Saccharomyces cerevisiae S288C: one gene and its partners. Changing the gene in region 1 together with any one later gene gives a genetic interaction. Each region holds a gene or a part of one and is shown on either strand. Other genes may lie near its edges.

What was found.
Region 2: mutations in YPL150W (region 1) and YOR019W together harm fitness more than expected from each alone (negative genetic interaction), as found in Saccharomyces cerevisiae (3 studies listed by BioGRID).
Region 3: mutations in YPL150W (region 1) and BEM1 together harm fitness more than expected from each alone (negative genetic interaction), as found in Saccharomyces cerevisiae (3 studies listed by BioGRID).
Region 4: mutations in YPL150W (region 1) and ULS1 together harm fitness more than expected from each alone (negative genetic interaction), as found in Saccharomyces cerevisiae (3 studies listed by BioGRID).

The regions. Positions count from the first base shown.
Region 1 is NC_001148.4:266,563-271,393, forward strand, and holds YPL150W (non-specific serine/threonine protein kinase), read left to right. Parts: upstream 1-1,625; coding exon 1,626-4,331; downstream 4,332-4,831. Other genes in the region: mRNA splicing protein PRP46, read right to left, coding at 1-973; ATG5 (Atg5p), read left to right, coding at 4,748-4,831. UniProt on the Saccharomyces cerevisiae protein: Putative serine/threonine-protein kinase.
Region 2 is NC_001147.6:366,393-370,871, reverse strand, and holds YOR019W (uncharacterized protein), read right to left. Parts: upstream 2,746-4,479; coding exon 553-2,745; downstream 1-552. Other genes in the region: HSP10 (Hsp10p), read left to right, coding at 28-348; ROD1 (Rod1p), read right to left, coding at 3,990-4,479.
Region 3 is NC_001134.8:618,842-623,049, reverse strand, and holds BEM1 (phosphatidylinositol-3-phosphate-binding protein BEM1), read right to left. Parts: upstream 2,179-4,208; coding exon 523-2,178; downstream 1-522. Other genes in the region: YBR200W-A (uncharacterized protein), read right to left, coding at 1-67; KTR4 (putative mannosyltransferase), read right to left, coding at 2,747-4,141.
Region 4 is NC_001147.6:690,579-697,876, forward strand, and holds ULS1 (translocase ULS1), read left to right. Parts: upstream 1-1,896; coding exon 1,897-6,756; downstream 6,757-7,298. Other genes in the region: SPR1 (glucan 1,3-beta-glucosidase), read left to right, coding at 117-1,454. UniProt on the Saccharomyces cerevisiae protein: ATP-dependent helicase involved mating type switching and in silencing interference through its interaction with the silencing regulator SIR4. Cooperates with UBC4 and UBC5 to mediate ubiquitination of SUMO conjugates.

The DNA of each region.
Region 1 (4,831 bases):
AAGCCACCGAAAACTCCTTAGGATGCAACGCTGTAGCTCTCACAGACCTCTTATGATGTGTTAGAACTTTCATTGTTTTCCCAGCAACTACATCCCATAACCTTACCGTAGCATCAGTCGATGAACTCACCACTTGAGGGTCTACTGGAGTACACTGTACTTGATTGATTGGACCCTTATGCCCAACTAGTGTAATAACAGGTATTCTGGTTCTCATATCCCAGAGTTTGATAACGCTATCTCGGCCTGCGGTAGCTATGAGATCCAGCGTTGGATGTATGCTCACCGTACGAACCCCCGATAAATGTCCATAGTAATCTCTAATAATTTGGTTTTTCTCTAGGTCCCAGCATTTGACCGTCTTATCTTCACTAACAGAAAATAAATAAGGATGTCGATCTGACACAGCAACGTCTCTCACTGTCATTACATGCCCTGCTAAGGTAGTTTTTAATTTTCCTGTTGCAAGATCCCAAACTTTCATTGTCGTATCATTACTTCCGGTGATGAACCATTCGTTGTCAACAGGATCGATTGCAACGCATCGTACCCATCCAAGATGGCCATTGATAACGCGTGAAAGTTTCCAGGGTGCATGCCATTCCGGCCTTTGTGACAGAAGTTTTTCGTATCGATTAACTATAAGTTCTTCAGCAACCTCTGGTTGGAAAATTTTATTCACAAAAGCAGATGCATGCGTATCGTGATCTTTCTTGCTAATCACTGCTTGTGATGCTTCTGAAAAATCTGTAGGAACATGCTGCAGAGTAACTTTCTTGCCTTCACCACTAAAAGAAGAACTTTCCTTCCTATAAGTATCATATCGCATTAGCAATGATTTCTGACCTTCCATTTCGCTTTGTAGGTGGGGCGGCAGAGTGGCCATATATGAAAATTGGTTATTCCAGCGTATTCTGGAATAAAATTTGTCTACATCTCCTAAATTTTCGACTTTGTGATCATTTCCGTCCATTCTCACTAATCTCCATGTAACACAGTGTCTGCATCCTCGGAAATGGTTTTAAGATGCAATGAAGTGGGTAATAATTACTGTTAGCTTCACATCTTGAATAATCTTTTATTGCCAAAATTGTAGCTTTTCCGTATTAGATGATGAAGAATTTTGAGCACCCTTACTTAATAAAAGAGTTGTTGAACTCGAAATAGGAATACGAGATGAGGAGTAATTCTCTGAAAGTAGATAGCTCCTCTTGTCACATTGAATGCTACTTTATTGTGACTATAGGTGATTTAAGCGAACGAATGTTCTTAGGTCATCGTGGATTTGTGTGGTGATTTTCGGCTTATCTTAACAATGTTGACCGCGTGGACCCTCCCAATCTTGACAACAGAACACTTATCAATAACGGTATACAATAAATATCTTGTATGAATTAAATAAAGTAACGTTTTTTCCCTCATATCATTCCGAATCATTACGAAAATTCCAATACCTGTATTTTGAAGTCAACAAGAGTTTCGTTATCCGAATACTATTTTTTGTATCAATAAATTTTGTTTCGTTTTTCATTAATAACTAGTCACTGTGTAGTGGAAGCAAGTTCTCCTTATCCGTTGCCAAGAGACAATAAAAGACCCACATATAGGTGAATATACTGCTCACCATGGTTAATCCTGTTGGATCCTCGAAATTGGAACAAAACAATATAAAAAGCATTATAGGATCATCGTACAATCGACTATACAGCCAATTTACTTCTGATGAGTTGACAGAAGTGGGAAACTACAAGATTTTAAAACAAATAGGTGAAGGAAGTTTTGGAAAAGTATATTTAGCGCTCCATAGACCAACACATCGTAAAGTCTGCCTAAAGACGAGTGATAAGAATGATCCCAATATCGTTAGAGAGGTATTTTACCATAGACAGTTCGATTTTCCTTATATTACAAAGCTTTATGAAGTGATAGTGACAGAATCAAAAGTGTGGATGGCATTAGAATATTGCCCAGGGAAGGAATTATATGACCACTTACTTTCTCTGCGTAGAATATCGTTATTGGAATGCGGAGAGTTGTTTGCACAAATTTCAGGTGCTGTTTACTATGCACACTCAATGCATTGTGTTCATAGAGATTTGAAGTTAGAGAATATTTTATTAGACAAAAATGGAAATGCAAAATTGACGGATTTTGGTTTTACGAGAGAATGTATGACAAAGACGACATTAGAAACGGTTTGCGGTACCACAGTTTATATGGCACCTGAATTGATAGAAAGAAGGACTTATGATGGATTCAAGATTGATATATGGTCATTGGGAGTGATACTATACACATTAATTACGGGATATTTGCCATTTGATGATGACGATGAGGCTAAAACGAAATGGAAAATCGTCAATGAAGAACCGAAATACGATGCTAAAGTTATTCCGGACGATGCTAGGGATTTGATCTCACGATTATTGGCTAAAAATCCGGGAGAGCGCCCATCGTTGTCACAAGTTTTACGCCACCCTTTTTTACAGCCTTACGGTTCAGTGGTTTTAGATCAGACTCAGAAAATTTTGTGCAGACAGCGCAGTGGAGGGACTCAGTTTAAAAGTAAATTAGAAAGGCGATTGCTGAAGCGTCTTAAACAATCAGGGGTTGATACGCAAGCAATAAAACAATCAATTTTGAAAAAAAAGTGCGATTCACTCTCGGGTCTATGGTTATTGTTGTTAGCCCAAGGGAAAAAGCAAGAAAATTGCAAATATCCAAAAAGAAGCAGGTCCGTTTTATCAGTCAAAAAAGTTATTGAAAGTGCTACGCATAACGACACTAATGGCATTAGCGAAGATGTTTTGAAACCCTCACTTGAACTTTCTAGAGCTGCTTCATTGAGTAAAATGCTCAATAAAGGCTCAGATTTTGTAACATCGATGACTCCGGTTAGCAGAAAGAAGTCTAAAGATTCAGCAAAAGTTCTGAATCCTACTCTCTCTAAAATATCCTCACAAAGGGCTTATAGTCACTCTATTGCAGGTTCTCCTCGCAAGTCCAATAATTTCTTACAAAAAGTTTCTAGTTTTTTCAAGTCAAAAAAAAGCTCTAACAGCAATAGCAACAATAGTATTCACACAAATGTTAGTGAAAGCTTGATTGCAAGCAATAGAGGAGCCCCATCTTCAGGGTCGTTTCTCAAAAAAAACAGTGGTTCTATTCAGAAATCAAGAACTGACACTGTTGCAAATCCTTCAAGGACGGAGTCTATAGGATCGTTAAACGAAAATGTTGCCGGTGCCATTGTGCCACGGAGTGCTAATAATACTACATTAGAAAATAAGAAAACTTCTGGGAATGAAATAGGCTTAAAAGTAGCTCCAGAACTATTATTAAATGAACATATCCGAATAGAGGAACCTCGCCTCAAGCGCTTCAAATCGTCCATATCAAGTGAAATATCTCAAACTTCTACTGGTAATTATGATAGCGAATCTGCGGAAAATTCTAGGTCTATATCTTTTGATGGAAAAGTTTCCCCGCCACCGATACGAAATCGGCCATTGTCAGAGATATCGCAAATTTCTAATGACACTTATATATCAGAGTACTCCACTGATGGTAATAATTCGTCATTCAAAATTTCAGACACTATCAAGCCGAGCTATATACGAAAAGGCTCTGAAACTACCTCGCAGTATTCAGCTTCATCCGAAAAAATGACAAATGGCTACGGTAGAAAATTTGTCAGGAGGGATTTAAGCATTGTATCGACTGCGTCGAGCACCTCTGAAAGAAGTTCAAGAACAGATTCCTTTTACGATATCACTACAGCTACACCAGTTGTGACCACTGATAATAGGCGCAATAAAAACAATAATCTGAAAGAGTCTGTTTTGCCCAGATTTGGGACTCAAAGGCCATGGACTGGCAAAAGGACGTATACCACGTCCCGCCATGGCAAGAATGCTAGGCGTTCGTCTAAAAGAGGTCTGTTCAAAATAACTTCTTCAAATACAGACTCTATTATTCAAGAAGTAAGCTCATCAGAAGAAGAAGATCATAATGTTATCTATAGCAAGGGAAAGGGTCTTCCAACACCAGTTTTGCAAACTAAAGGATTAATAGAAAATGGGTTGAACGAACGCGATGAAGAAGGAGATGACGAGTATGCAATTCACACTGACGGAGAATTTTCTATCAAACCGCAGTTTTCCGATGACGTTATCGACAAACAGAATCATTTGCCCAGCGTGAAGGCTGTGGCAACTAAACGTTCGTTGAGCGAAGGAAGTAATTGGTCTAGTAGCTATTTGGATTCGGACAATAATCGGCGAAGGGTATCTTCATTGCTAGTAGAGGATGGGGGGAATCCTACAGCGTAGGTACCGGATAACAGAGTAACTGGTAAAAACGGCAAAAAATACTGTAAGGAAGTTGTCTATATATGTACATATGGATATTGCGGTATAATAAAAAAGCTTTAAAATTATAAAGAAACCCGACTTTTATCACATATAATTATATTATAAAAAAATAATGGCATCTGTATGAACTCGCGATTAAGCTCACTTTTTTCTAATGATCGAAGTTTTGTCCGGTTATCCAACTGTGGCAAGAACATCGCGAGGCGGAGCTAAACACAGAATTTTTGTAGCGCGATGAGAAACATAACGCCTCTTTAGATAAATTATCATCACCTTTTTTACACTAAATAATGAAGTAGCATGCTCAGAAGTGCGAATGAATTTTTGTTCTTTTGGTTCTAGAAGAACGGAGATAGGAAACCTATGATGTAAGTATGAATGACATTAAACAATTACTTTGGAATGGTGAGCTTAATGTGCTGGTATCGATCGATCCTTCATTTTTGATGAAAGGAAGT
Region 2 (4,479 bases), on another chromosome or scaffold:
ATATATTGAATCTACAGAAAAAAAAGAATGTCCACCCTTTTGAAGTCTGCTAAATCTATCGTTCCATTGATGGACCGTGTCCTTGTCCAAAGAATCAAGGCACAAGCAAAGACAGCATCCGGGTTGTATTTACCTGAAAAGAACGTGGAGAAGTTAAACCAAGCTGAAGTTGTTGCCGTAGGCCCGGGCTTTACTGATGCTAATGGTAATAAGGTTGTTCCTCAAGTTAAAGTTGGTGACCAAGTTTTGATTCCACAGTTTGGTGGTTCTACCATTAAATTGGGTAACGACGATGAAGTTATTCTTTTCAGGGACGCTGAAATCCTGGCTAAGATTGCCAAGGACTAAGAATGATGTCTTCTTCAACAGAGATTTTATATACATACTCTATATGTATGTACCTGTAAATAGGCCATTATGTATGACAGGAAAAAAAAATAATTGAACTCAAATTTCTTCTGCTATTCAGTTGCTGCCCCCAATTGTCTGCTAATAAAATTGATCTATTCATCAATAGGAATTTTAGGGACACTATGTGTACAAACTATCCGCTCATATTTTGCCGAATAAGAACAATGATTTCTTCTTTTTTTTCTTCTTCTTTTTCTTGTCGTTACGATCATCACTTTCAAAAACATCGCCACTGCTACTATTCCTTCTACTGGATGATTTATTTCCAGAGGAACTTCCACTTTTAAACACCTTAAAAATCCCAACTCCACCCCCAGTGAAGGTGTTCACAGTACTAAAACTAGACGAGCTTTTCTTTGACCCTGCACTACTTGAGGAGTCATTAGTTTTGACTTTTCTTAACGCACCGGCACTTTTAACTTTCCTCAAAGGAATGCTATTATCAACACTACTGCTTTTATCAGATGGATCAAAGGAATTTTCTTTGTCGAAGGAAATACTGTGCCTTATATCAGGCAGATTTCTGGCTTTGCCAAGGGCGGCTCTTCCATCTTTGTGTTTTACAGAGGTTGCAAACTTGATTTGGGACGTAGGCGAGCTACTGAGTTTAATAGTTGTTGTGGTATTTTGTTCCTCTGAGGAAGAATATGGTATTAAAGATTTTCTAAACTTTGTGTTTTTCGACCCATTGCCTATCAAAGCATTCTTAAAGCTGGAAATTTGGTCACCGTGACTGGACTGCGATACATTTTTACCAGGCAACGTCTCTATCGCTAAAGAAGACTTCAATGACTCTCTAATTATGATATCAATTTTCTTCAACAAAAGTTTTTCCTTAGTACATTCTCTATCTTTCTCATCGTCTTGTAATTTTTCTATATCACCCGTGATCTTCCTTCTTGAATGCTGGGCGAGACCGGTCAATTTTCTTGGAATGGAATCATTAGAGGTGTTGAACTGCTTTTTGATGTAGCCTTGCCTTTTGAAATCTTCGGCGTACGAATCTACGGAAATATGTGAAGAAATATCTGATATTGTATTTTTTTTGAACATTGAACTGCTCATGCTCTCAACGTCAGTGTGTTCGTGCTTCATATGATTTTTTGAGACATAATGTTCATTTACTTCTCTTTGTAGATTCAGTTCGAACGAATACATTCGTTTCGAGGGAACAACAAATGTGGGAATCGGATAACTAACAGGAAAGACATCTGTCAGCTTTTTGGATTTATATGTAATAAGATTCTCATTTCGCTCGTGCTTTAAAGTAGCAAGAACTAAGAAATCTGGAGTATGGACATTAATGACATCTACCAGACTTTTTTTAATTTTGCCTACAATTATTTCTAAAGTAATTTTGACGGATATTTTGACCACTTTTACTAGCTGTAAAATATAATCAAAAATGTCGTTTAATTTTTGATCTATTACTTCTTTTTGATATCCCGGTGCCCATTCTGTATCATCTTTTGCAGTTTTTTTCCTGTTAGAAATCATTTTTGGCAGTGTAGTTATGACAACAATGTGATCAAGATTTCGTGCAAACTTGTAGACTGTCCAGTCTAGGGCAACCCACGTATGTTTTTTTCCGTTAATGTGACAAACTATTGTCTTAGGGTTATTGGGATATCCGACCTTTTGTTGAAGTATTTTATGCTTTCTTTTTTGTTCTTTTGTACATGGTGCACTATCATCTCCTCTATATAACGGTTTAATACGCTCTTCAGAGAAGATAAGTTCTGGGTAAGTAAACCATTTTTTTTTGTCATTCAGCCTTTCATTTATTTGTAGTTTTCTTTGGCGCCATAACTTTATCCAGTTCTTTTCAAACCTGTTTATCATCAACGTTTCGTTGACAATTACTGGCGTGCTTGGATAGTCTCTCCTCACTATTTTTCCATTCTTGGATACCAAGAAATATTTTTTGATGTCAGAATTCTTTTCCAACAACTTTGAGGATCTCATTGGAAAACTACTGGATTCAGATTTGTTCTCTTTTCTAGTATTCAGAAAAGGTGATGATTGGAATGTATCTCTCAAATAATATTGCAAATTTGGCGAAAAAGAGTCTGTTTCATCGTCATAGCACTCTTCCATCGTGTAATAGTTGGGAACAGGTACACCTTTGAATCCTTCCCTGCTGTCGTCTATAGAAGAATAACCAGCGGTGGAAGGCACTGTGTCAAAGGCAACAGATGGTTGGAAACTGCCTTTCTTTTTGGCCCGTTTTTTAAGGTTTTGTTCATTTCTCTCTTCGAATTGTTGTCCTGGAACATCGAATGTGAGGCTTCTGTAGCATTTTTGCAAGTCATTTTGTGGGCAAACAGAAATCATAATAATTTAAGGTTGACTTGCCAAAAGGGTGCGTGATCTATAGCAAGTTGAATATTAAAAGCCTTTTTAATGAGGAGTCCTTATTTTAATACGTGTTGGATTCGATGTCCTTTCTTTCTGGTCCTATGCATTAGTGTGGATGGTAACGAGACATGAACCCAGAAGGATATATATGTATCTATCTGCAAATCATATTGCTACTAATAATGGTAGATTGCCATTCACAAAAAAGCCGCCCCTCATAAAACTCAGCCGCGCAAGCTTTGAAAAGGGGCGAGCGGCTGAAACAGAACGGTCTTCTAGAAGGCTGATTCAGCAGTAATTAAGACAAAAGCAGTACTACCAGCAAGAACATAGGAGGTGATTGAGTTATTAATTGAGGTACATCTGAATTGCAAGAACTCTAAATATTTTCTTTTGCGATGAAAAACTGATGCTTGTGTGATTAACATATAACGTAATTCATTGAGAGAAAAGAGCAGCTGTGCTCGAGATCAATGAGTTGACTATAAAAATAGCAATTTCCGTAGGATCGCAAAGTTGGCTAACCGTATAAAATGGGAGGATATATACGAATGATGTCTGTGGGATCTTTAACATTTAATTAGAAAATTTTGTAGTGCCAATAATTGTTGAGGAAGAAGTGCCAAGTAAAGAAAAACAGATCTTCTGAAGCTCATTGTATTCTCATTATATTCTCTCAAAAATACGTTCGTATAACTGATTAATCCTGTTTTTCTAATCACTATTTTAATGTTTCAATTGAGGGATTTTGCCTTCATACAATTGTTGAGAGAAATTTTCCAACAAGTATGGGAAATATGAGCAATTCTTATCTTTTAAAAACAAGAACTGGTCCGATATTATTCACCTCAAACATATTGGACGAGATCATTTTTAAAACGTTAGGGGTGGGGAGGATATCAATAAGTTTTCATAATTATGTTAACCTTCAAGCCATAAAACCGAGTAAGACCACTTAACAAAATCTATGAGAAGCCTTGCGGCAGAATCTGACAACTTCAGTGAAATTTTTTTGTGATTATAGAAGCATAAACTACAACGCCGAATTGTTTTACTTTATAGCAATTATGAGGTAGTATTATAACATTATATTATCATTTTTCAAGTGGTATGAGGTATGAAAGTACTCTATCAAAGTATATATGCTTAACTGTACAAACGTGTATGAAGTATTGCTCATATCTTTTTGTCGAAATTTCGAAGACAAAAAATAAAGCAGTCTATGAGCGATCCCGTTTTGTGAACATCTCCATTAAATTAGCAAATGAACCTGTTCCTTGTCTTAATGGTGAGTTGCTATTGTTGCTCCGAACTGACGATGAGCGTGACCTTCGATTGTGGGTTGCGCTCGTATAGTTTTCCTCTTCTCTTGGCTTATTAGCGTCAGATGTAGAATCAGTTTTATCAAAATGTGAATTGTTCTTGGAACTTGAATTACTAGTGAAAGATGTTGTCATATTAAACGGAAAATGTCTGCTTCCTGTGCTGCTTTTTGCTGAAGTGAAAGAGAGATTTAGATTAAATGAACTATCTGTGTTGTTTCTCGCCAACTGCTGCAATGATACTGAGGATCCGCTATTATTCCTTGGTAATGGAGAGTGGGATAAATGTGTCCTACTAGACGATCTTTTCAGATTATTGGAACTCTTGCTCGAGCCTGGAAGTGGCAACAAAGAGGATGTAGACTTGTGATGAAGAATTTGTGGCCTT
Region 3 (4,208 bases), on another chromosome or scaffold:
TACGCCACTTCATTAAATCGAAAGGGAGCCACATTATCCTTTGACACATATGGAAGCACAAAAGCATATTTAAGAATAAATATGTTCAGAATTTTTCTTGTAGTCTCTTCTGAATTTTACGTCAGCAATATAACTTAAAATACCTATAATTCATGCATTATGATTGAGTGGAAATATTTGGCTTTTTGTACGTTTTTTTTTACATGTGGTGTAAAATCTTTCATATAATTCATTTTCAGGTGAATTTAAGCTTAGGTACCCAACTTTACATTTGAAGAAAAATATAAATAAAAAATATTTCCAAGTGGTCTAAAAAGTTTAAGCAACTTTCTATATACATATATGTCCTTATTTATTTTTATTACAAATCACGCTGTTTCGGAAGAATTGGATACCTTAATATTATTACTGTTCGGGAGAATCTTATTACTCTCGCAAATCATCATAAAGTTGATTAAAATGTTCAACCTATGTGCATCTGCCAAGTAAAGAAGAAAAATGCTTCGTCTTCTAACACTAGATTCAAATATCGTGAACGGAAATTTTCAGTTTGGCTTGGATTATGTTACTGACTTGTGAATCAGTCTTAATTTCCTCCCCGCTACCATCAAATAATTTGGTTTGTAATTTAAAATTATCTGTATCAATCCTTGGAGCGATTTTACTACGAAGTTCTTTATAGGTTGTGTCACCCTTCAGCATTAAAGCAAAAATATCGTCTTTGTAATAAAATTTAATTTTAGTAGTTTTCAATCCAGAAGTTGATTGGGCTGGAGCCTGCTTGGAGCCCGATAAAGATAAATCTGAGAGTTTCTTGTTTAACTTCAAGTCTTCGCCAGTTAAAGTGTTGTCTTGGTTAGTTGAGGCAAAATTAGAAGTTTGAGATGCTGTTGCAAAGGTTGCTGTATCGTTTTCTTGTAATGTTTTAATATTGTTTTGATTTTCGTCTCTTTCAAATTCTCTGTCGAAACCATTATTCAAAACAACGAATAAGGAATGCACCATTTCTGAGCGAGATATATAATCGGGAAGATTCACTAGGTCTGCCACATATATATTCAAGTCCTCCTTTCTTTTTTTTGTTATGCTATTGGTAACGTATGGAACGGGTCCAGGGATATAGGGCATTATACGTTTGGACCATTGTCCACCTGCATCCCTCAACTTACCGGCCTCTGCTGGGAACGCATCCAAAAGTTGAACCTGCAGATCGTAGAAATCTTGATAGTATCTTTTCAGTTGCCTCGTCTTACCGTTAGATAATTCACAGCAAACCAAAAACCAATACTTCTCATCTTCTAACCCAAAGGATTCAACGGATGCTTTCACTAATAATTCACCGTCAACCAGCTTTGCGCTTTTGTTCTGAGGTTTTGTAATGGATTGCTGCTGCTGCTGCTCCACAGAACCAAGGCTAATATTACTAGCTTTGTATCTTGCAATGTTGCTTTTCCATTCTTGAACAGTTGGTAGGTTAACTGACTTGATGTCTTCTATTACGTCGTTACCTGTTGCGTACCCCGTGGCAATATCTATGATGCTAACAAACCCAACAGGAACAAGGCCGGGCCCTCCAAGTCGACCAATTGGCTTAGCAATGAACCATTCACAGTTATGGTGGGCGCAAATAAACAAATTCTCTCCCACATAAGTTGTCAACTCATCAGCTTTTTCTGCCTTAAAGTCATATAAAACAATGGCGTATAACGATCCCATGTTTAATGAATCATTTGTAACCTTCCGACTTGAACTATTGGATCCATTCACAGAGGAAGGTTTAGTTCTATCAAACACTTCAAAATAGGTTTTGGGGACAACACCCTCTTTTCCAGTAGAAGGATTTGAAGCTTTATACCAATCCTTCTCATCTCCAGATACATAAAAAAATTCACCTTCCATGAAAGATAGTTCCTTTGAAGTTTGTGCCTGATAACTGTATTTGGCTTTTATAACTTTCTCTGGAGAAGTAATATCTTTAGAATTATGTCTGTTTTTTGGTGAAGAGTCCCGTTGGCTTTTCACTGGGGTGGAAGATGAAGAAAGGTACCTCACTGGTACTGTCTTAATATGCTTTATAACACTCCCATTATCATGAGAAGGTGTGGAAATATCTGCGGATGTAATTCTGCCCTTCGACCCATTACTATCTCTTTTTGAGAGTTTGAAGTTTTTCAGCATTTATATGGCTTTCTTGACAATTTCTTTTCACACAGTGCTTTCAACGTGCATCCATATGGGTTTAGTATATTAGTGAAAACATATGCTGATTAAGATGGTACATCAAATTATGGCTGTATTGTCACTTTCTTTTTTTCCTGTTCGTAAATGAATGGGGCCCTTCGCCATTTGTCCGTTTAGGGTAATATTAGTTAAGAAGCCGTTAAGGCCCGGGAAGAATGTCGAATAACAATAGATAAGAGATATTGTAAAGTTTTTGGATTTCGGTTTACCATATTGTATTGAAATGATTGAAAATATAACGACATTATAATTCCATATTATCAAGTGACATTTTTGAGGAGTAGCTTTCTCAAACCAATAATACCTTCAACAATACTATCTACTGGCTGAGAAACATTTCATTTTCCATGAATGTTCACCTGTAACATTTTTAGGTTGCTACATTATAAACTTTTCTTAATTCCATAATATATATCTATCTATGTGCGTCCTAAATTAAATCATAAAACCCCAGATGTGATGCCGTTCTCGAAAGCAGCGGCACAAATTCTCAAAGCTAATGTCTTCAATACATTTCTAACTCTTCCTCAGACATAGAGTGTCTTATCCAGGTTGCCTGGCAATTTTGGTTGTCTAGATCACTCCAAGGAGTGAATTTGCCTGGTACACAATTTCCATTACACCTATCTGAATCTGCTGGACAAGTTGGACAGTTCGTGTACGGAGTATGGTGATAACCTATATCCCTGAACCAATGGATGCTTGACTTATCCGCAAATAAAGCAAGTGCCAAACTTCTTACAGGGGCATCACCCCACCTTTCATAGTAGAATCCTCCCTTTTCTTCAAGATATTGCATATATTTTTCATAAGGTTCTGACCTCAAAAAGTCTAAATCGACTATTTCAAAATTGGTCCAGAAATGACAAGTTGAATACCCTTGAGTATAATCATAATTTTTTGGATTTTGAGAGTTATCTTTTAGCCATGCGAAGGCTCCGTTGACGTTCAAATAGTTTGGGTGTTCCTCGACAAAATCCATAGTTGAAGTCCATAGCGTTTCGATGGTTTGCGGACTATCATAGAGGTTCAAAACAAACCCATAAATCTTGTCATTCTTGTTCATAAATTGGAAAACGTCATAGTTAATTTTGCAATAGAAATTCACGTTTGGCTCTAATCTCCACACATATTTATATTTAGATAGCAGAGGATGATGGTAAAATTCTTTAGAATAGAAACGACACATGTTATGATAGGATTCCACCTCTGCATACTGAATGTTCTCTTTACTCATTTTGTCCATTTCTTGGTCGTATCTCTCCCTATCTATGCTATCAGGCATATTCCAGTTATCTGGACCAATAGTGCCAAATTCTACTACACGGTCCTTAGGAAGAATACTTTTTATTCCATCTTTGAATTCGTCAGTAAATTCCTCATCGTTAAGGAAGGTATAGGGATATCCAAAATTCTTATTGTACTCCTCTTCTAGCTGTTGAATAGAAGAAATTATATCCTCTAAATCAGAATTTCTCACCAAACTCAAAATAGTTCCTTTTGCCTTGCCGGCTAACGGATCCCCGCTACGTACCAAATTGTCCACCTTTGGCTCAGAAATTTCTTGAAGTAAAAACTCCTCGTACAACTGTTTATTTTCAGCAAGGACTTCATTCGGGTCAAAAGTGTCCTTTTCATAAAGGGGCTCGTGTAGCCTGTCCATTATGCTATCTAACACCTCAGCATCATGATCAGGAAGTTCATCAGCGCTTTCAGTTTTACCTGTAATACTTTTGTAGCTCTCCCGGAGAGAAGCATACTGGGACTTGGCACTATCCTTGACTGCTTGCAAATAGTTCTCATTCGCCGTTAAAAAGTAAAGAACAACGGTTACGGCAATCGATATTAGAATGATCACTGAAAGTACAGGTTTCAGTATCCTTTTTGAAAGAAACCTCATATCAGTTCGTATGGTTCACCTTGTTGGGTCTAAACTAAAAATTGTGTTCTGCTGTAACGGCCTATTG
Region 4 (7,298 bases), on another chromosome or scaffold:
ATTCATTATTTTTTTTACCCTTCTCTTTTAATTGTTCAATTGCGAACAGACCATCCAAAGATTCGAAAGAAAGACTGAGGTGCTCCGCATAAAATCTTTATAAACTTTAGAAGTAAATGGTTTCGTTCAGAGGGCTGACTACACTAACACTACTTTTTACCAAATTAGTAAACTGTAATCCTGTTTCCACAAAAAATAGGGACTCTATACAGTTTATTTATAAAGAAAAGGATAGTATATACTCTGCCATCAACAATCAAGCCATCAATGAAAAAATTCATGGAGTCAATTTGGGTGGGTGGCTAGTATTGGAGCCGTATATTACACCTTCTTTATTCGAGACTTTCCGTACTAATCCGTACAACGATGACGGTATTCCTGTTGATGAATACCATTTTTGTGAAAAATTAGGCTATGAAAAGGCAAAGGAACGCCTTTATAGTCATTGGTCGACGTTCTATAAAGAGGAAGACTTCGCGAAAATTGCTTCTCAAGGCTTCAATTTGGTTAGAATTCCTATTGGGTATTGGGCCTTTACAACGTTGAGTCATGATCCCTATGTTACCGCCGAGCAGGAATATTTTCTAGACCGGGCTATCGATTGGGCTAGGAAATATGGTTTGAAAGTATGGATTGATCTTCATGGAGCCGCTGGTTCACAAAACGGATTTGATAACTCAGGGTTGAGGGATTCATATAAGTTTCTGGAAGATGAAAATTTAAGCGCCACCATGAAAGCTTTAACGTATATTTTAAGCAAATACTCAACAGACGTATACCTGGACACCGTTATTGGAATCGAATTGCTCAATGAACCGTTAGGTCCAGTTATTGACATGGAAAGATTGAAAAATTTGCTTTTGAAGCCGGCTTATGACTATTTGAGAAATAAAATTAATAGCAACCAGATCATTGTAATACATGATGCTTTTCAACCTTACCATTATTGGGATGGGTTTTTGAATGATGAAAAGAACGAATATGGCGTCATAATTGACCATCATCATTATCAGGTGTTCTCGCAGGTGGAATTAACAAGAAAAATGAATGAACGTATCAAAATCGCCTGCCAATGGGGGAAAGATGCCGTAAGCGAGAAGCATTGGTCCGTAGCAGGCGAATTTTCAGCGGCCTTAACAGATTGTACAAAGTGGTTAAATGGGGTTGGTCTAGGTGCCAGATATGATGGAAGTTGGACCAAAGACAATGAAAAATCTCATTACATAAATACGTGTGCAAACAACGAGAATATTGCCTTGTGGCCCGAAGAGAGAAAACAGAACACTAGAAAGTTTATCGAGGCTCAATTAGATGCTTTTGAAATGACTGGTGGATGGATAATGTGGTGTTACAAGACAGAGAATAGTATCGAATGGGATGTTGAAAAATTGATTCAACTCAACATTTTTCCGCAACCTATCAACGATAGGAAATATCCTAACCAATGTCATTGAAATTTTGTGGCATATATTTAAGGTCTTGGGAATGTGATGATTATTATTGGAGAAAAAATTGCCATCTAAAACTCTTTATATAACATGATGAGGTATACAAATAAAAAATACTTTATATCTTATAATTATGCAAATAAAAGTGCTTCCATCAACCGCTACTTCACTTTTTATCTGAACTATGAATGGGGAGCTCATGATGATTACCTGTTGATATTACGTGAGGCGGAAGAGAAGCACGAGACACGGGTCACTCTCGATATTACCGGACAGTTTACTTAGACTATGTAACGAATATGAGAGGAAGAAAAACAATAAATAAATACAAACCTCTCCGCAGTTTTATGAAAGAACAGGACAGGGCGTCTATACCGATTTTTACATCTATCTTTTGAGTGCTTGAAAGGAGACGCTGGACTATATCTTTAGGTTAAACATCTGTCAAATGGCAGCAGTACCCACCATCGACCTTACACTAGCCGATTCAGATAATGAAGACATATTCCATTCTTTTTCGTCTTCAACAAGTGTGGATAAGATAGACATTAGGAAAGAAAATGGGAAATTAAGAATGGCAGGCTTGGAAGTCGCCCAATCTAATGACGATGCAGCACGTCAAGCATTCCATGTTTTCAAGACGAACATATCAAATAATGAAACCTTCGATACTATTCTTTCAAAGAGCAAGACAATCACAGACAGTACCTTCAACAATGAAAAATCTTCCAACGAAGTAAAACAGCAGCAAGTCTTGAAGGAAGAAACGATGGGATCTTCCAACGATGAGAAGAAAACACAAGAGAGCAGCCCAAGCGCAGAGATGATAAAACTTTTTTATGAAAACGATGATGTGCCGTTATCCGATAGTTTTAAACAAAAAGAGGAAGGTAAAAGAATAAATCAGGATGAGCAAGTGAAGGAAAATATCTGTGGCATTTCTTCCTCATACGTCTCCAAAGACTACGATGGCGTTGAAGATGATTTCGAGCCTAATACTTGCCAGGACAGCAATTTGGATTTTCAAGAGGAGAAGTTAAACTTGAATAACAAACCGTCACAGCAACAGTTCAGCGACCCAGAAACAAAAGATAACAGTTTGAAGAGCGAAAACAAAGACCAAATAAAAGGAGTCACAACAACAAGTTATCGTGATTTACCTATTGAATCTAGTGCTTTCCAGGATTCTGAAACTCAAAATAACTCCAAAAACACTATACCTAACATCGTAAATGAAAAGCGAACGCCAGCATTACCGTCCAATCTAAGCTCTGTTGAGAGTTCCCTTAAAAACGAGACGGCCAAAGTAGAGGGGAAGACGACCGTTCGTCTTCCAGGACTTCAAAATAATGTTGCCTTACTTGAGCAAGAACAAAGTGAACTATTCAAGCACTTTAGTGAACAACCTGTCGATATTAGCGATTTTGGTCGTAAGATTAAAAGGAAGCATAGCGGAGATTTTGCAGATAACAAGATACTTAAAAGACCGATATTGCCCTCAAAAAATATGGACCACACAACACATAATTCACATGATTCCGAACAGAAAAATAGCTCGATTATTATTCTTTCAGATGAGGACGAATCTGGTGCCGGTATCAATGATATAGAAAGTCCTTTGAAAGTTTCTGAACCAAATACAGCTGATGCGCTTAGGAGCAGTGTACCAGAAGTCATATCTTTACTTGACCTACCCAATATTGACTTGAATAACTCAGTAATAAAAGAAGCAAGTGGCAGCAATTCAATTCCTACATCAGAAACAGACGCACAATCCTCGAGTTCGTCAGTTCTTCAAGGAACTATCATGACAGAACAAGCTACTCAATCCTCTCAACACGAATGTAACAGTTCACTTGATACTCTAAAAAAAAATCATCAAAAATTATTGAAGGATTTGAATTCTAGAGAGTCTGAACTACGTAATGCTCTCAGTTGCTGCAAGACAAACTCTGAAATTTTAAGAAGGAAACTAAGTAGAAGAGAAAAGGAGGTCTCTGATGCTGAAAAACATTGGCAGTTATTGTTGACATCGATGGCTAGAGGGGGAAGAACTATCAGCTCAACTCAGCAGATATTAGTTGATGAAGCTGAGAACCAATTAAACAAACTGAAGGAAAAAAGACAGTTGACAAAATCGAAGCTAGATTCAATCAATTTGAAAATGTATAATTATAACGAACAATGGAAGTCCTTTGTGCATTCGAAAAATATAAACCTGCAGAAATCTTTGGCTGCCCTTGAGCGGTCAGCCAGGGATAGTAAAGCTTCTGCGACCGTAAATAAAAGAAACGAATGCCTGGCTGAGAAAGAAAAGCTAGACCAAATGTTAAAAGAAGGAACCCTAAGCTTCAGTACCTACAAGCAGTTAACAGGGGAGATCCAGCAGAAACTGAATGACTTGAAACTGGGGGACCAACGCACAACTGATATCAATAGTGTATTGCCAATAGTACGGCAACCTCTCGCCAAAAGAGATTTATTTATTAAGTCCATTGATACTGCAAAAGATTTATTAGCCAAGAACACATCCAGGACAGAAATGACGAAGAGAATTCTTTATAGACATTTGGACAACTTGGTCTCTTATAAAAACTTTTTTGAAGACGGAAGATCCTTAATAGATATAAACAGAAGACACGTTGCACATGAATCGGCCCAAATATTGTTCACCAACGGTGTAAAGATGCCCATTGTTTTTGAAACATTACAAGATTACGGCATCAAGTTTTCTAATCCAGCCATTGTCAATCCTGACAGAAGAGCCCAATATTTTAAAAGCATCGAAGTTGCACGCGATCTCATATCAAAGTCTACTAGATCAGAGGATGCTAAACGAAAGATTACTCGATTTTTGAATATAATTGAAGAATTTCGTAAAGATATTGACACCGGATTTCCACCTACTCCTTTAAAAAGGGAAGGCGTCGGAAAAGCTGTTGTTGGGCTAAGACAACAAGGACTTAAGATGGACAGACTATATGAAAATTTGAGAAGATATAAGATTCCAATAACAAGTGAAGAATTACTGCAGCAAAGCTATTTATTTCCGGTAAACGCAGATCAACGACCTCCTTCAAACTGGAACATCGTGGAAAATACCGAAGATACTAGTTCTACAGCCAATGATCTATCGATGCAAGATGAATTTCACATCTCTAATATGCATGCAGCAGAAGATCAAGAACAGATTAGGGCTCTTTTAGAGAATGTCAAACAATCTGAATCCATTATAGACGGCGAAGCACTTACTCCCGAGGATATGACCGTAAACTTATTAAAACACCAGAGGCTGGGTCTGCATTGGTTGTTACAAGTTGAAAACTCCGCAAAAAAAGGGGGTCTGCTTGCTGACGATATGGGCCTGGGTAAAACGATTCAAGCTATTGCATTGATGTTAGCAAATCGCTCAGAGGAATCCAAATGTAAAACCAATTTGATCGTCGCACCAGTCTCAGTCTTGAGAGTTTGGAAAGGTGAATTAGAAACGAAAGTAAAAAAACGCGCAAAATTTACTACATTTATTTTTGGAGGATCAGGTAACGGAAAAGTTAAGCACTGGAGGGATTTGGCAAGATATGATGCTGTTTTGGTATCTTATCAAACTCTAGCAAACGAATTTAAGAAACATTGGCCGAAAAAACTGGATGGTGAACAAAATCAGCTACCAGCTGTGCCTCATATACAAGCTCTTAATAGGTTGAAAACCTCAAATGAATACTACTCTCCATTTTTCTGCAATGATTCAACGTTTTACAGAATTTTACTGGACGAAGGCCAAAACATCAAGAACAAAAATACAAGGGCTTCTAAAGCGTGCTGTACTATAAATGGAATGTATAGGTGGGTCTTGTCTGGTACGCCGATTCAAAATAGTATGGATGAGCTTTATTCCTTGATAAGATTTCTAAGAATTCCACCCTACCACAAGGAGCAACGGTTTAAATTAGACATTGGAAGGTTTTTTCAGAGAAATAAGCAATATCAATATGATAACGAGGATAGAAAAAACGCATTAAGAAAGGTTAGAGTCCTTCTAAATGCCATTATGCTTCGTCGGTCTAAGGCTGATAAGATCGACGGCAAACCTTTACTGGAGCTCCCTCCTAAAATTGTGGAAGTAGATGAATCACGCCTGAAGGGAGAGGAATTAAAATTTTACACAGCTTTGGAATCAAAAAATCAAGCACTCGCTAAGAAATTGTTGAACAATTCTACGAGGGGGAGCTACTCTAGCGTTCTCACATTACTACTTCGCTTAAGGCAGGCTTGTTGTCATTCAGAATTAGTTGTGATGGGAGAAAAAAAAGCGGAAGGTACAAAGGTAGCTAACGGCAAAAGCTTTGAAGATGACTGGCTCAGGCTCTACTATAAAATCACTCACATGAGCGGAGAAGCGCAGGCTCAGGTTATTACTTCAATGAATTCTATGACATGTTTCTGGTGCATGGAACAATTAGAACCAGAAGCGATGTCCGTTCTGACAGGTTGTGGTCATTTGATTTGCGACACTTGTATCGAGCCCTTCATCGAAGAGTCATCCATGCTACCTCAGGCCAAGAAAACCAAAGGTGGGGCATTTGCTATCCCATGCAAAGATTGTCAACGTTTGACAAACGAGAAAGATATTGTTTCGCACAAGTTATACGACCAGGTAATAAACCAGGGATTTACTGAGGAAGATTTGCATGCAGAGTATTTAAGTGAAATGGAGAAACAAAAAATACAGCAAAAAAATGTATATGTGCCAAATTTTGAGAGTTTAGAACCATCTACGAAGATAGAGCAATGTATACAGGTTATTCAAAGAGTTTTTGATGAATCAGCAACCGAAAAAATTATTATTTTTTCCCAGTTTACAACATTTTTTGAGATTCTCGAACATTTTCTCAAAAATAAACTGAATTTTCCCTACTTGAAATATATTGGATCAATGAACGCTCAGAGAAGATCAGATGTTATCAACGAATTTTATCGTGACCCTGAGAAAAGGATACTTCTGATTTCCATGAAAGCCGGTAACTCAGGACTAACATTGACATGTGCGAACCATGTAGTTATAGTTGATCCATTTTGGAATCCTTACGTCGAAGAACAAGCTCAAGACCGTTGCTATAGAATTAGTCAAACAAAAAAAGTCCAGGTGCATAAATTGTTTATAAAGGACTCTGTTGAGGATCGTATTTCTGAATTACAGAAGAGAAAGAAGGAAATGGTCGATTCTGCCATGGACCCAGGCAAGATAAAGGAAGTGAATAGTTTAGGGCGTCGGGAGTTAGGATTTTTATTTGGTTTAAACGCTCTTTGAAGAACTTGGTGAATTTTGAAGCATTATTGCGATACACATATGTATATGTTGATAATTGGTGGCTAAGCTTCTAGTTTGTAGGCTTAAGTAACTTCACTCGTTGGCACTTACGAGCTTGGCATTTAATGGAACAGAAAATAAGCCGTAAATCGGCCCTACTTTAAGTATAAGAAATATGCGAAATTTGATATGATCGTTTGAATTACTTTTTGAAAAAGAAAATACCATTAGTAACATACAATATAAGAAGCTCGTCTCCTGGATTTGGAAATCCACAAAAGATTATCAACAATGCCACGAATAACATAATTGCTTCCCCCTCCTGTTAATTGCTTTAACTCATTATTGCATCGTTAACAGTTGTTACTAAATTTGATTTTTGTTTCTCATCATATATGTAATCTTCAAACGCCAGTATAATTATACGCTCGCAACAGCTACCATACATTAATGAACCGATGAAAATATCCCGTTTGATGATAACTGGCAATTAAATGACAGTATTAATTAATAATCAAAGCTGATCTTATATTCCTATAAAA